Linked DNA regions of Bombyx mori. The protein of the gene in region 1 binds, or shares a complex with, the protein of each later gene. Links are inferred from orthologs where the notes say so. Each region holds a gene or a part of one and is shown on either strand. Other genes may lie near its edges.

What was found. Proteins that work in one complex are often made in the same cells at the same time.
Region 2: general transcription factor IIH subunit 5 (region 1) and DNA-directed RNA polymerase II subunit RPB2 share a complex: the UniProt entries of both Homo sapiens proteins name them as parts of the TBP-based Pol II pre-initiation complex. The link is inferred for Bombyx mori from reciprocal best matches to the Homo sapiens genes GTF2H5 and POLR2B.

What each region holds. Positions count from the first base shown.
Region 1 is NC_085109.1:11,978,577-11,984,184, reverse strand, and holds the start of general transcription factor IIH subunit 5, read right to left. Parts: upstream 3,323-5,608; 5' UTR 3,196-3,322; coding exon 3,161-3,195; exon of another isoform or gene 2,931-3,160; coding exon of another isoform or gene 2,793-2,930; intron 2,157-2,792; coding exon of another isoform or gene 2,010-2,156; intron 1,892-2,009; coding exon of another isoform or gene 1,786-1,891; intron 1,272-1,785; coding exon of another isoform or gene 1,135-1,271; intron 520-1,134; coding exon of another isoform or gene 430-519; exon of another isoform or gene 424-429; coding exon 237-423; 3' UTR 229-236; intron 1-228. Other genes in the region: meiotic nuclear division protein 1 homolog, read left to right, coding at 430-519, 1,135-1,271, 1,786-1,891, 2,010-2,156, 2,793-2,930. UniProt on the Homo sapiens protein: Component of the general transcription and DNA repair factor IIH (TFIIH) core complex, which is involved in general and transcription-coupled nucleotide excision repair (NER) of damaged DNA and, when complexed to CAK, in RNA transcription by RNA polymerase II.
Region 2 is NC_085110.1:13,228,918-13,234,642, forward strand, and holds the start of DNA-directed RNA polymerase II subunit RPB2, read left to right. Parts: upstream 1-2,365; 5' UTR 2,366-2,505; coding exon 2,506-5,725. UniProt on the Homo sapiens protein: Catalytic core component of RNA polymerase II (Pol II), a DNA-dependent RNA polymerase which synthesizes mRNA precursors and many functional non-coding RNAs using the four ribonucleoside triphosphates as substrates.

The DNA of each region.
Region 1 (5,608 bases):
TAGGTTAAATAAGAAGTAAAACTATAAAAATTGAAAATCGAATCATACATAAACCTAATAATATTAATAAAAAAAAGCATTATGTGGAAGGCATTGGGGAAGGCCTATGTCCAGCAGTGGGCAGATAAAGGCTGATGATGATGATGATGATGAAGTAAAATTTCGCGATTCGCGCACAAATGCGGATCTCTATCACCATATATTATACAAATATGTTTGAATATTTACCTCGTAATTTATAATCCTTTATCGTGCACGGGTATGCTGAGCTGGTCCATTAAATCGTCAACGCGAGCTTGTAGAGTCTCCACAATATCAGCTGATATGAACAAGTGTGTTTCATCCAGGTCTTGAAGAATAAACTTTCTACCAAGTGCAAGAGTTTCATCCAAGTGTAGTAAGAATTGTTTCATTGCCGGATCACTGAAAATGTCCAAGAAACGAGGTCTTAGTGCTGATGAAAAGAAGACCAGAATGCTTGAAATATTCCATCAAAGTCAAGATTTTTTTCAATTAAAGGTAACCTCATTAAATTACAACTTCATACATAGCTTTCGATGTCACTCTGCCCTAAACGATAAGATGCCAGATGTACTCATATTAAACAGTATTATTATAGCAATGTTTAAACCCAGCGGTTAGGTGCCAATTTTAGTAATGAACTTTGTAATTAAACATGTTTATAAATGACTTTCACAATAAATAATTAATGAAATCTGATAATACTGATGGGTGGCACATACATTGTGATGTCTGTTGACTCCAGTAACCTAATCACATACACCAGGGGTGGGTATTAAGCTCTTCCACTCAACTAAGCAATAAAATATATCTCTTATTTAGGATAAATGAGACAGTGTGAAATAGTGTCTGGAGTTTCTTACTTACTAGCAATGCAAGGTCGTTTTTTAATTAATTGAGAGCAAAGTAATAATAAATGAAGTTTTCACGAATGTTTACTCATCATTTGACTTACTTGGTAGGAGTCCAATTTCTTATTTGTTGGTGATCATGTTAGTTGAGTCACCAAATAGTCAATAATTAGTTCAAAAGAAAATGTTTAGACAGCACATAAAACAGAAGTGGCCATAACAAAATCTATTAAGATAATATTTTATATTTTAACTTTTACAGGAACTAGAAAAAATAGCACCAAAAGAAAAGGGTATTACAATGCAATCAGTTAAAGAAGTGATTCAGAGTCTAATTGATGATCACCTGGTTGATTCTGAAAAAATTGGGACTTCAGTGTACTTTTGGTCTTTCCCAAGGTACTATGTTAAACAACTAACTAAATAACTGGGAACAGAACAGTACATTATCATCTGGCGTCAAATCTGGCCTATTTCTGCCATTAAGCAGTTATTTATTTCGGTTTGAAGGGTGTTAGGTCATCATGCTGTTACAACTGAGACCTTAGAAATCTTGTCTCAAGGCAGGTGGCAGCATTTATGTTGTAATGTCTATGGGCTTCGGTTACCATGTAAAACCAGGTGGACTCATGTAAGCAGTAAAGCTGAATGAATAAATTTTTGCCCAATATGGGAATCGAATCCACAACTTTCGGCAGTCAGGGGTGCCAACTTTTGCACCACCGAGTCAGTCATTGACTAAGACTAGTTTTATTATTTTGAATAATAAAATTTACATGGACTTTACACACTGATGCTATGAGAAATTAAGAGTAAACAATTGTGCTTTTTAAAAATTTATGACTGCAAAATTATTTTTCAAATCAAGCAAGCTGTGGTAATGCCATGCAAACATTAAATAAATTACTTGTAGCAAAGCAAAAAGTACCAAGAAGAGGAAGCTACAAGAACTCCAGAATGAATTTGATGAATGTACGAAGAAGTTAAAGAAAACTGAGGAAGTCCTTATAGCAGAATCGGTCAGAATATTTATAGTTTTTTACTTAGTATAGTATAGTCTATAGAGTTATAATGAAACTTAATTCTATTCTATATTTATCAGAGACTGATATATTTATTAATTGACTTTAATATTAGAAAGGCAGAGAGATATCTGAAGAAAGAATAAAAATATTATCATCTTTAGAAGATCTTCAAAAGCAAGAGGCTTCATATAAGAGAGAATTACAAAAATACAGAGAATCTGATCCTGAATATATTGCACAACTGAGACGTGAAATAACTGTAAATCCAATTCTTATATTAATGTAGATGAGATGATGTCTTAAGGTCTATATTCCATTCAAGCTCATATTAGCGCCCCACTGTGAGCGCAATAGATAAGGCCAATGTCCCAAGTTTAAGGATTTAGTAATTGATGAATCAGTTCATGGCCTTTCTATAGTAGTATAGTATTTAGTGTTTCTGAAGTGTTAAGTAAGTTACTGAAGTTGATAGGTATCACAATGTGACTTCTGCTACCCACTTTAATATTGCACACATTAGATCAGTTACTATTATATTTCATAAAGGCCAAGTGAACTGATCAAACTGGAATGTGTATATTTTTTTTGGCAGATGTAGGCAGAATGACAAAACTGTATGAGCTTACAACTGGTAATGACTTTTAAGTCTAACATGTCTATTTCATGCTAGAAAATATATATTTTATTATTTGGTGGGTAATATTACTCAATATAACTTATCAGTATATTAATTAAGCATTGTATTCATTATTTAAAAATAAGGAAAACAAAGTACATTTAAAAAAATACTATGTTTTGATAAATAGCTTTCTGTAGGTGGTAGTATGTATAACCAAAGACATAACTATAATATTATCAAATAATAATATTGGATTAAAAATGTTTCATTTTGTAGGAATTGAAAACAGCCAGCAACAGATGGACAGAAAATGTATATATATTGAAATCTTATATAAAAAATAGTTTTCAAATAGATATTGATGCACTAGAAGAAAATTTTAACATACCTAAAGATATGGATTACATTGAATGAAGTTTTATATACAAGGCATTCCTCATAACCTAGGCCCAGAACATTAAATTTAAGTATGGGAAAAACCAAAGAAGAAATTCTTTGGCAAGTTAATATATTGTACGTAGTAAATTGATTAACTGATGTAATTTAAAATTCAAATCATTAAAGCACATTGTAACGATTCTAACTTTATCTGTAAGTTTGCATATGTAAAAGTAATATTTGTGAGAAATAAAAATAATAAATACCATTCAACGAGGACACCTTTCATTACATTCACCATGGTTCATTGTTTTAGAACTTGTCACTTTATGTAATAATTAATTGTAAATAAAGTATGTAGGTACCTATTTACTCCCTACTTTCAGTAGATACCATAGGTTATACAGAATACTATTACTATTATAAACTATTATTCATAGACTATACACTTAATATCTATTATTTATGGGTAAGTGTGGAAGGCTCATTACACTTTGCTAAATTTAGTCGGTGTAATAGCATTCAGTAAGTTAACCTGCTAAATTCAGTAGCAAGGATGGTTTCTGACTGACTAAATCATTTAGAAGCCTAATTAGAAACGCATATAAGAAGGTGTAATCGCATTTAGTTACTTAATGATTTCAGTCGTCCCATAGCTCTCCGTGCGTAAGGACGGCTTAGTTTGTTTTTTACTTCCGAATAAAAAGTATTTATTTCGCTCACCTTTATTAAATGTGCCAAACATTTATAAATAGCCCAACTTGTTTCAGGGATAATTTTTGTCAGAAGGGGTTGGGATATTATAAAGAACTAAAAATTAAATCTTGATACGAATTTCCTGTTGCAAGAAATCTTAATGTTACAACCAATCTTTCTTTTGGACTTATACTATCGTAGGATTAGATATGTAATAGTTATATAATATAGATATATAATAGACTATAGTAGTATCGTAGGATAGTATCCTGCTTTTGAAAAAAATTGTGCCACAAGGCTTAATATTTGGTCAAACGACCTCGAATCCATTCGTAGATCATTTCTGAAGTCTGCTGGTTCTAAATCATTCTTTTTTTTTTTTTTTTTTTTTTTTTTTTTTCCTGCCTAAGCTGAGAGCCTTGAGAGGCTATATCAGCGTAACCCTAACTTTTGTAGGTGAGCTCACGGGGCTCAAACCTGACGATGTTGCTAACACGAACCCTAGCAAGAGCCGTGCTTCGCAGAATCTACCACCGGATCGGAAACGCGACCCACTGAGAAGATCCGGCGAGAAACTCAGTGGGCTGTGTCTAAGAGTTAATTTACTCGTCGAGCCCTTCGTCGCAAGCGACGGGTTCGACGAGAACGGTGACCGGTGCTTGAAGTACCTAAAAGCACCGTTAGTGGATCGGGAGGATCCGAGATGACGTGTTTTGGGCGACGTCGACTGCTTTCCATTCTGTCCGCAGGATCGGGAATGTAGTTACCGGCGGCCACGATGAGAGGGTTCTCGTGTCGTGCCGCTTTATCGAAGTGGCGCATTGACGCCGACTGCATATACTTACTGGTGGACTCGAAGTCCAGGTCGTCATGGAGGTCGACGTTCCTGACGAACCACGGGGCTCCGACGGCTATCCTGCAAAAACGGGATTGAATGACTTGGAATGATTTCAAGTGTATGCGGGCCGCGTGAGCGAACACTACACTTGCATAGGTCATGACGGGGCGTATGCAAGTTTTGTAGAGTGTCACCTTATTTCTAAGGGACATTTTACTTCTCCTACATATCATCGGATAGATAAATCACTCATAATGTTCATATTTGCTAACTTTCCGCGCAGCAATATATATTTCTTCGCCCATACTCTTCATTTTTTTTTTTTTTCAATTGAGCCGACAGCGAGGTCTGCGCCTAGACCAATTTTTTGTTGTTTAGATAATACTGGGGCCATTCACACACACACGACACGTCCTACTTCGTCGCGTTTATACTGACAATTGATTCAGTAACTGAAGTTAAGAACAGTGTAATCAGAAGCTTCCAACTTGCTTCTAAATTTGCTTTTGAATTCAGTCGACTAAATTTAGCCAAGTGTAATAAGCCTTTAAGGCGTAAGTGTAAGCTTTTTTTTTAAGGGATTTTATGACCTGGTAACTAAGACCTTTAAGTCATGTCTTATTTTAATATAAATGCTTATTTGAGTCGACTATTATCAAAGCCGGCAATCTGACTTTTGGACAATTATTGGTAAATCAGAAAAACGAATTATTGACTTTGTATTCCATTGGCAGTCACAAAACTCTTCGGAACGACATCTTAGATAAATAACAGGTTAACTATTAACCTTTATTTAATGCAGGTTTTGAACCGTATTCTTTGAAGGAGACGATTATATTCAACTCAATCTGTATTGACATATCAATAACATTTTTTTGTCCAAATGCACAGATTGCCACCTTTGATAATAGACGACTCATTTGATGAAAAATTATAATATGGAGTGAAATGAAGATGATTAATTTAAGACATTAATCAACTGGGATGAAATTAAATGAAAAAAATGTGTGCGTGTACTAGTGTACACACGTAAGAAGTGAAACTTGTTTATGGCCTTATTTTTCGAAAAATGATCTACATGCAACTTTCTAGAAATTGGTTAAATAAAGTTAAATTAGATAAAGTTTAAACAAAAGGATTTTATTATCATAGACATGAATACAAAAAAGTTAAATTAGAT
Region 2 (5,725 bases), on another chromosome or scaffold:
ATTTAGGTTTTTATTGTTTATGTACGGACTGGACAATATTTAATTTTACTTAATGTTTTGTGTCGAAGACCTGAAACCGAAGACTTGAGATGATAGGAGAGGTGGAACCCGTAAAATTGTAGTTTGCGTAGTGGCGGATAAGATTTGTTGCGGTAAGAAGTTTGCATGGTGGTAAAATGTCTTGTGAGTCTGCACAGGTAGCCGGAGGTGAGACTTCCGCGGTCGCGGCCCACCCAGTCCGCGAGAACCGGGCAGATCGCCTCGACGGTACGGAGGCCGGCCGACGGGTCCGCCAAACGACGAGACCACGCCTCCAGCACGGACTGCCGAGATTGGAGCCCCCGCGCTCCGGCTGCACTTGCGCTAGGGCGCGCCGCCTCGTAGGAGACTGTGAGGTATCCTCGAATAACTCTGACTGCGATCGCGCGCTGCCGGCGTCGCAGCGCGGCGACGTTCTCGTGGGTACGGACGTGGCACTAGACGGGTGCTCTATGGAGTGCCATCGACCGCACGGGTACCATCACCCTGCCTATTTCTGCCGTGAAGCAGTGGTGTATTTCGGTTTGAAGGGTGGGGCAGCGGTTGTAACTATACTGAGACCTTAGAACTTCTATCTCAAGGTGTGTGGTGCGTTTGCGCTGTGGATGTCTAAGGGTTCCAGTAGCCACTTAACACAAGGTGGGCTGTGAGCTCGTCCACACATTAAATCGAAGAGCGTAATCAAACGAAATTAGATACGAAGTTTAAAAGGCCGTTTAAAGTAGTTGAAGTATTGGATGGTGACCGTTACACATTGAAAGCTTTAAATTCAAAACTTACTTACAAATACCCACATGATAGGCTAAGAAAATTGCCAGCATGACACATACCAGTCGAAGTTGATGTAAATGATGATGATGAAGAGCAAGCTTAAATTGTGGTGAAAACTCGAGTAAGGAGTTTCTTGGTATTTTTTTGTATTTCACATCTTTTTGTAGAGAATGAAAGTTATTGAAGTCTTATTTTTTTTGTAAAGTGCAAATGTTATTGAGATGAGTTTTATAAACGTGGACTTGGCGCAATTTTTTACAGTGAAACTGTTTTTGTTCGGATTTCATATCTTTTAGTTAAGTATTATTTTTTGCTCATTTATTACTTAACAAAAATAGACAATAGAATAAAAATATATTACTAGTATATAGTCACTCAGCTTAAAAGCTAATGAAACGCTCAATTAATTAGTGTAATAATAATCAACATCAACTTTTACAAATTTAAACCGAATTAAATTCTGTTTCAAATGTGAACGGTGGATGACGCTGTTCTTAATTATTTCAGATTTTAAAATTGAAATCTGAAAGCTTTGAAACGTCAATCTGCATAAATGTAATTCAAAAACTACAGTAAGAGGCTTAAATAAAAAGCTAAATTTAACTCAGCCTTAATTAAAATTTTTTTCGGAATTTAGTAGTAAAGTTCAAGTTATTTTGATGAAATCAAAACTGAAATATTCATAACATCTTAAACAATCACCTACGAATAAATATTATTTATTATATTATCTATTCAGTAGACAATCACAACGGTTTTATAGTTTTGGGAAGGGATTTTTTGTAACGCCATCTCGTGAAGTATTTCGGTATTACATTAATATAAAATAATTAATAATTGGGAATTTAATTATTTTTATGATCGAACAATCACCAATAGTCATCGAACAAACGATAATTGATCAAAATGAATTAAAATGAATTAATCGATAAAAATAAAGATATCTAGTAAGAGGGGCCCACTTAACGGTGATCATTTATTTAATTAATTATAAATAAACAAAAGACGAACAAACAATTTTTACATTCGAGCATTAACGAACAAACGACGAACAAATAATTAAAAATAAAAAAAATCCGAAAATAAAAAAAGGGGGCCAAATTTACAGAGCCATAACCTACTAACTTAAATATTAAGTGTATGATCTATACCTACGGCACACTGAATTTGGCCCCTCTTTTTTTGATTTTCAAATTTTTTTATTTTTAATTATTTGTCCGTTGTTTGTTCGTTAATGTTCATATGTAAAAAATCTTTGTTCGTCTTTTATTTATTTATAATTAATTAAACAAATGATCACATTAAGTTGGCTCCTTTTACTAGATATCTTTATTTTTATCACTCAGATTAATTAATTTTGATCAATTATCGTTTGTTTGACGACTATTGGTGATTGTTCGATCATAAAAACAATTGAATTCTCAATTATTAATTATTTTATATCTAATAAGCAAACCATCACCTCACGCCAACAAATATAAAAAAATCCAAAATAAAAAAGGGGGCTAAATTCACTGAGCCATTAAGCACATAATATTTGCATGTGTTTAATCTATGATATTTGCTACCATAGATAATAGAGCCTAGGAAAGGCGACGACGACGCATTTGCTTTAATATTTTCCAATTGAAAATACAGAAAGGCCATTAATAGCCTACAGTATATTTTTTAAATACAACACTCGCTTTAGCGAAGATGTATGATACAGAAGATGATCAATACGAAGAGGAAGATGTGGAAATAACACCTGAGCTTTGGCAAGAAGCTTGTTGGATTGTCATCAACGCTTATTTCGATGAAAAAGGTCTAGTGAGACAGCAATTAGATAGCTTCGATGAATTTATTCAAATGTCGGTACAACGTATAGTTGAAGATTCTCCACCCATAGAATTACAAGCAGAAGCACAACATTTCTCTGGTGAGATGGAAACACCACCAAAATATCGTCTTAAATTTGACCAAATTTATTTATCTAAACCTACTCATTGGGAGAAAGATGGAGCTCCATCTCCCATGATGCCCAATGAAGCACGTCTTCGTAATTTAACATATTCGGCACCTTTATATGTTGATATTACAAAAACAATAGAGAAAGAACATGAGGATCCTATTGAAACGCAACATCAGAAAACATTTATTGGCAAGATTCCTATTATGCTTAGATCTACATATTGCTTACTAAACAGTTTGACTGACCGTGACTTGTCAGAATTGAATGAATGCCCCTTAGATCCTGGTGGTTACTTCATTATTAATGGATCAGAAAAAGTACTAATTGCACAGGAAAAAATGGCTACCAATACTGTCTATGTATTCAGCATGAAGGATGGCAAATATGCTTACAAAACAGAAATAAGATCATGTCTGGAACATAGTTCTAGACCGACATCTACATTATGGGTTAATATGATGGCTCGAGGAGGACAAAATATAAAGAAATCTGCTATTGGTCAAAGAATTATGGCAATTGTCCCATATATCAAACAAGACATACCTATAATGATTGTATTCAGAGCTTTAGGTTTTGTTGCTGATAGAGATATATTGGAACACATTATATATGATTTTGATGATCCAGAAATGATGGAAATGGTTAAGCCATCTCTTGATGAGGCTTTTGTCATTCAAGAACAAAATGTAGCACTCAATTTTATTGGAAGCCGAGGAGCACGCCCAGGTGTCACCAAAGAAAGACGTATTAAATATGCTAGAGAAATCTTACAAAAGGAAATGTTGCCACATGTTGGAGTATCAGATTTTTGTGAAACAAAAAAAGCTTATTTTCTAGGCTACATGGTACACAGATTATTATTAGCTGCTTTGGGTCGAAGAGAACTGGATGATAGAGATCATTATGGCAACAAAAGATTAGATTTAGCAGGACCACTTTTGGCTTTTCTATTTAGAGGCTTATTCAAAAATTTACTAAAAGAAGTCCGAATGTATGCTCAAAAATTTATTGATAGAGGAAAAGATTTCAACTTGGAACTTGCTATCAAAACAAAAATCATCACTGATGGTCTTCGTTATTCTTTGGCAACTGGTAATTGGGGTGACCAAAAGAAAGCTCATCAGGCCCGAGCTGGAGTATCTCAAGTGTTGAACAGATTAACTTTTGCATCTACTTTATCCCATTTAAGACGTGTCAATTCTCCAATTGGACGTGATGGTAAACTTGCTAAACCACGTCAATTGCACAATACTTTATGGGGTATGATTTGTCCTGCTGAAACTCCAGAGGGAGCTGCTGTTGGCTTAGTGAAGAATTTAGCATTAATGGCTTATATCTCAGTAGGAAGTCAACCTTCACCAATTTTGGAGTTCTTGGAAGAATGGTCAATGGAAAACTTGGAAGAAATTGCACCATCAGCTATAGCTGATGCCACAAAGATATTTGTGAATGGTTGTTGGGTAGGAATACACAGGGACCCTGAACAGTTGATGGCTACACTACGTAAACTAAGACGTCATATGGACATCATTGTCTCTGAAGTCAGTATGATTAGAGATATAAGAGACAGAGAAATCAGAATCTATACAGATGCAGGTAGAATTTGTAGGCCATTACTTATTGTCAATAATGGTGTCTTATTGTTGAAAAAGAAGCACATAGATGATTTAAAAGAAAAGGACTACAATAACTATGGTTGGCAAAATTTGGTGGCTAGTGGAGTAGTTGAATATATTGATACTTTGGAAGAAGAAACTGTGATGATTGCCATGAGTTTAGATGACTTGAATCAAGTTAAAGAATATGCATATTGTACTACTTATACACATTGTGAGATTCATCCTGCAATGATTCTGGGTGTCTGTGCGTCTATTATTCCATTCCCAGATCATAATCAAAGTCCCAGAAATACTTATCAAAGTGCTATGGGTAAACAAGCTATGGGAGTTTATATCACAAATTTCCATGTTAGAATGGATACACTGGCTCATGTTTTGTATTATCCTCACAAACCCCTGGTTACGACAAGATCTATGGAATACTTACGATTTAGAGAATTGCCAGCAGGAATTAACTCCATTGTTGCTATTCTTTGTTATACCGGATATAACCAAGAAGATAGTGTTATTTTGAATGCATCTGCTGTAGAGAGAGGATTCTTTAGATCCGTATTTTACCGTTCATACAAAGATTCTGAATCTAAAAGAAATGGAGAACAAGAAGAACAGTTTGAAAAACCAACCAGACAGACATGTCAGGGTATGAGGAATGCTCTGTATGACAAATTAGATGATGATGGTATTATTGCTCCTGGTATTAGAGTATCAGGTGATGATGTTGTCATAGGAAAAACTATAACTTTGCCAGAAAATGATGATGAGTTGGAAGGTACAACAAAACGATTTACAAAGCGAGATGCATCCACTTTCTTACGTAATAGTGAAACTGGAATTGTTGACCAAGTAATGTTAACATTAAATAGCGAAGGTTATAAATTTTGTAAAATTCGAGTCAGATCTGTACGCATCCCGCAAATTGGAGATAAGTTTGCTTCACGACATGGTCAAAAAGGAACATGTGGAATTCAATACAGGCAAGAAGATATGCCATTTACTTGCGAAGGTATAACACCAGATATCATTATTAATCCTCACGCTATCCCTTCACGTATGACAATTGGTCACTTGATTGAGTGTATTCAAGGGAAAGTATCTTCTAATAAGGGAGAGATCGGTGATGCAACCCCATTCAATGATGCTGTAAATGTGCAAAAAATATCATCTCTGTTACAAGATTATGGTTACCATCTACGTGGTAATGAAGTCATGTACAATGGGCATACAGGCCGTAAAATTAATGCGCAAGTTTTTTTGGGACCAACTTACTACCAACGTTTAAAGCACATGGTCGATGATAAAATTCATTCTAGAGCTAGAGGTCCAGTACAAATTCTAGTGAGACAGC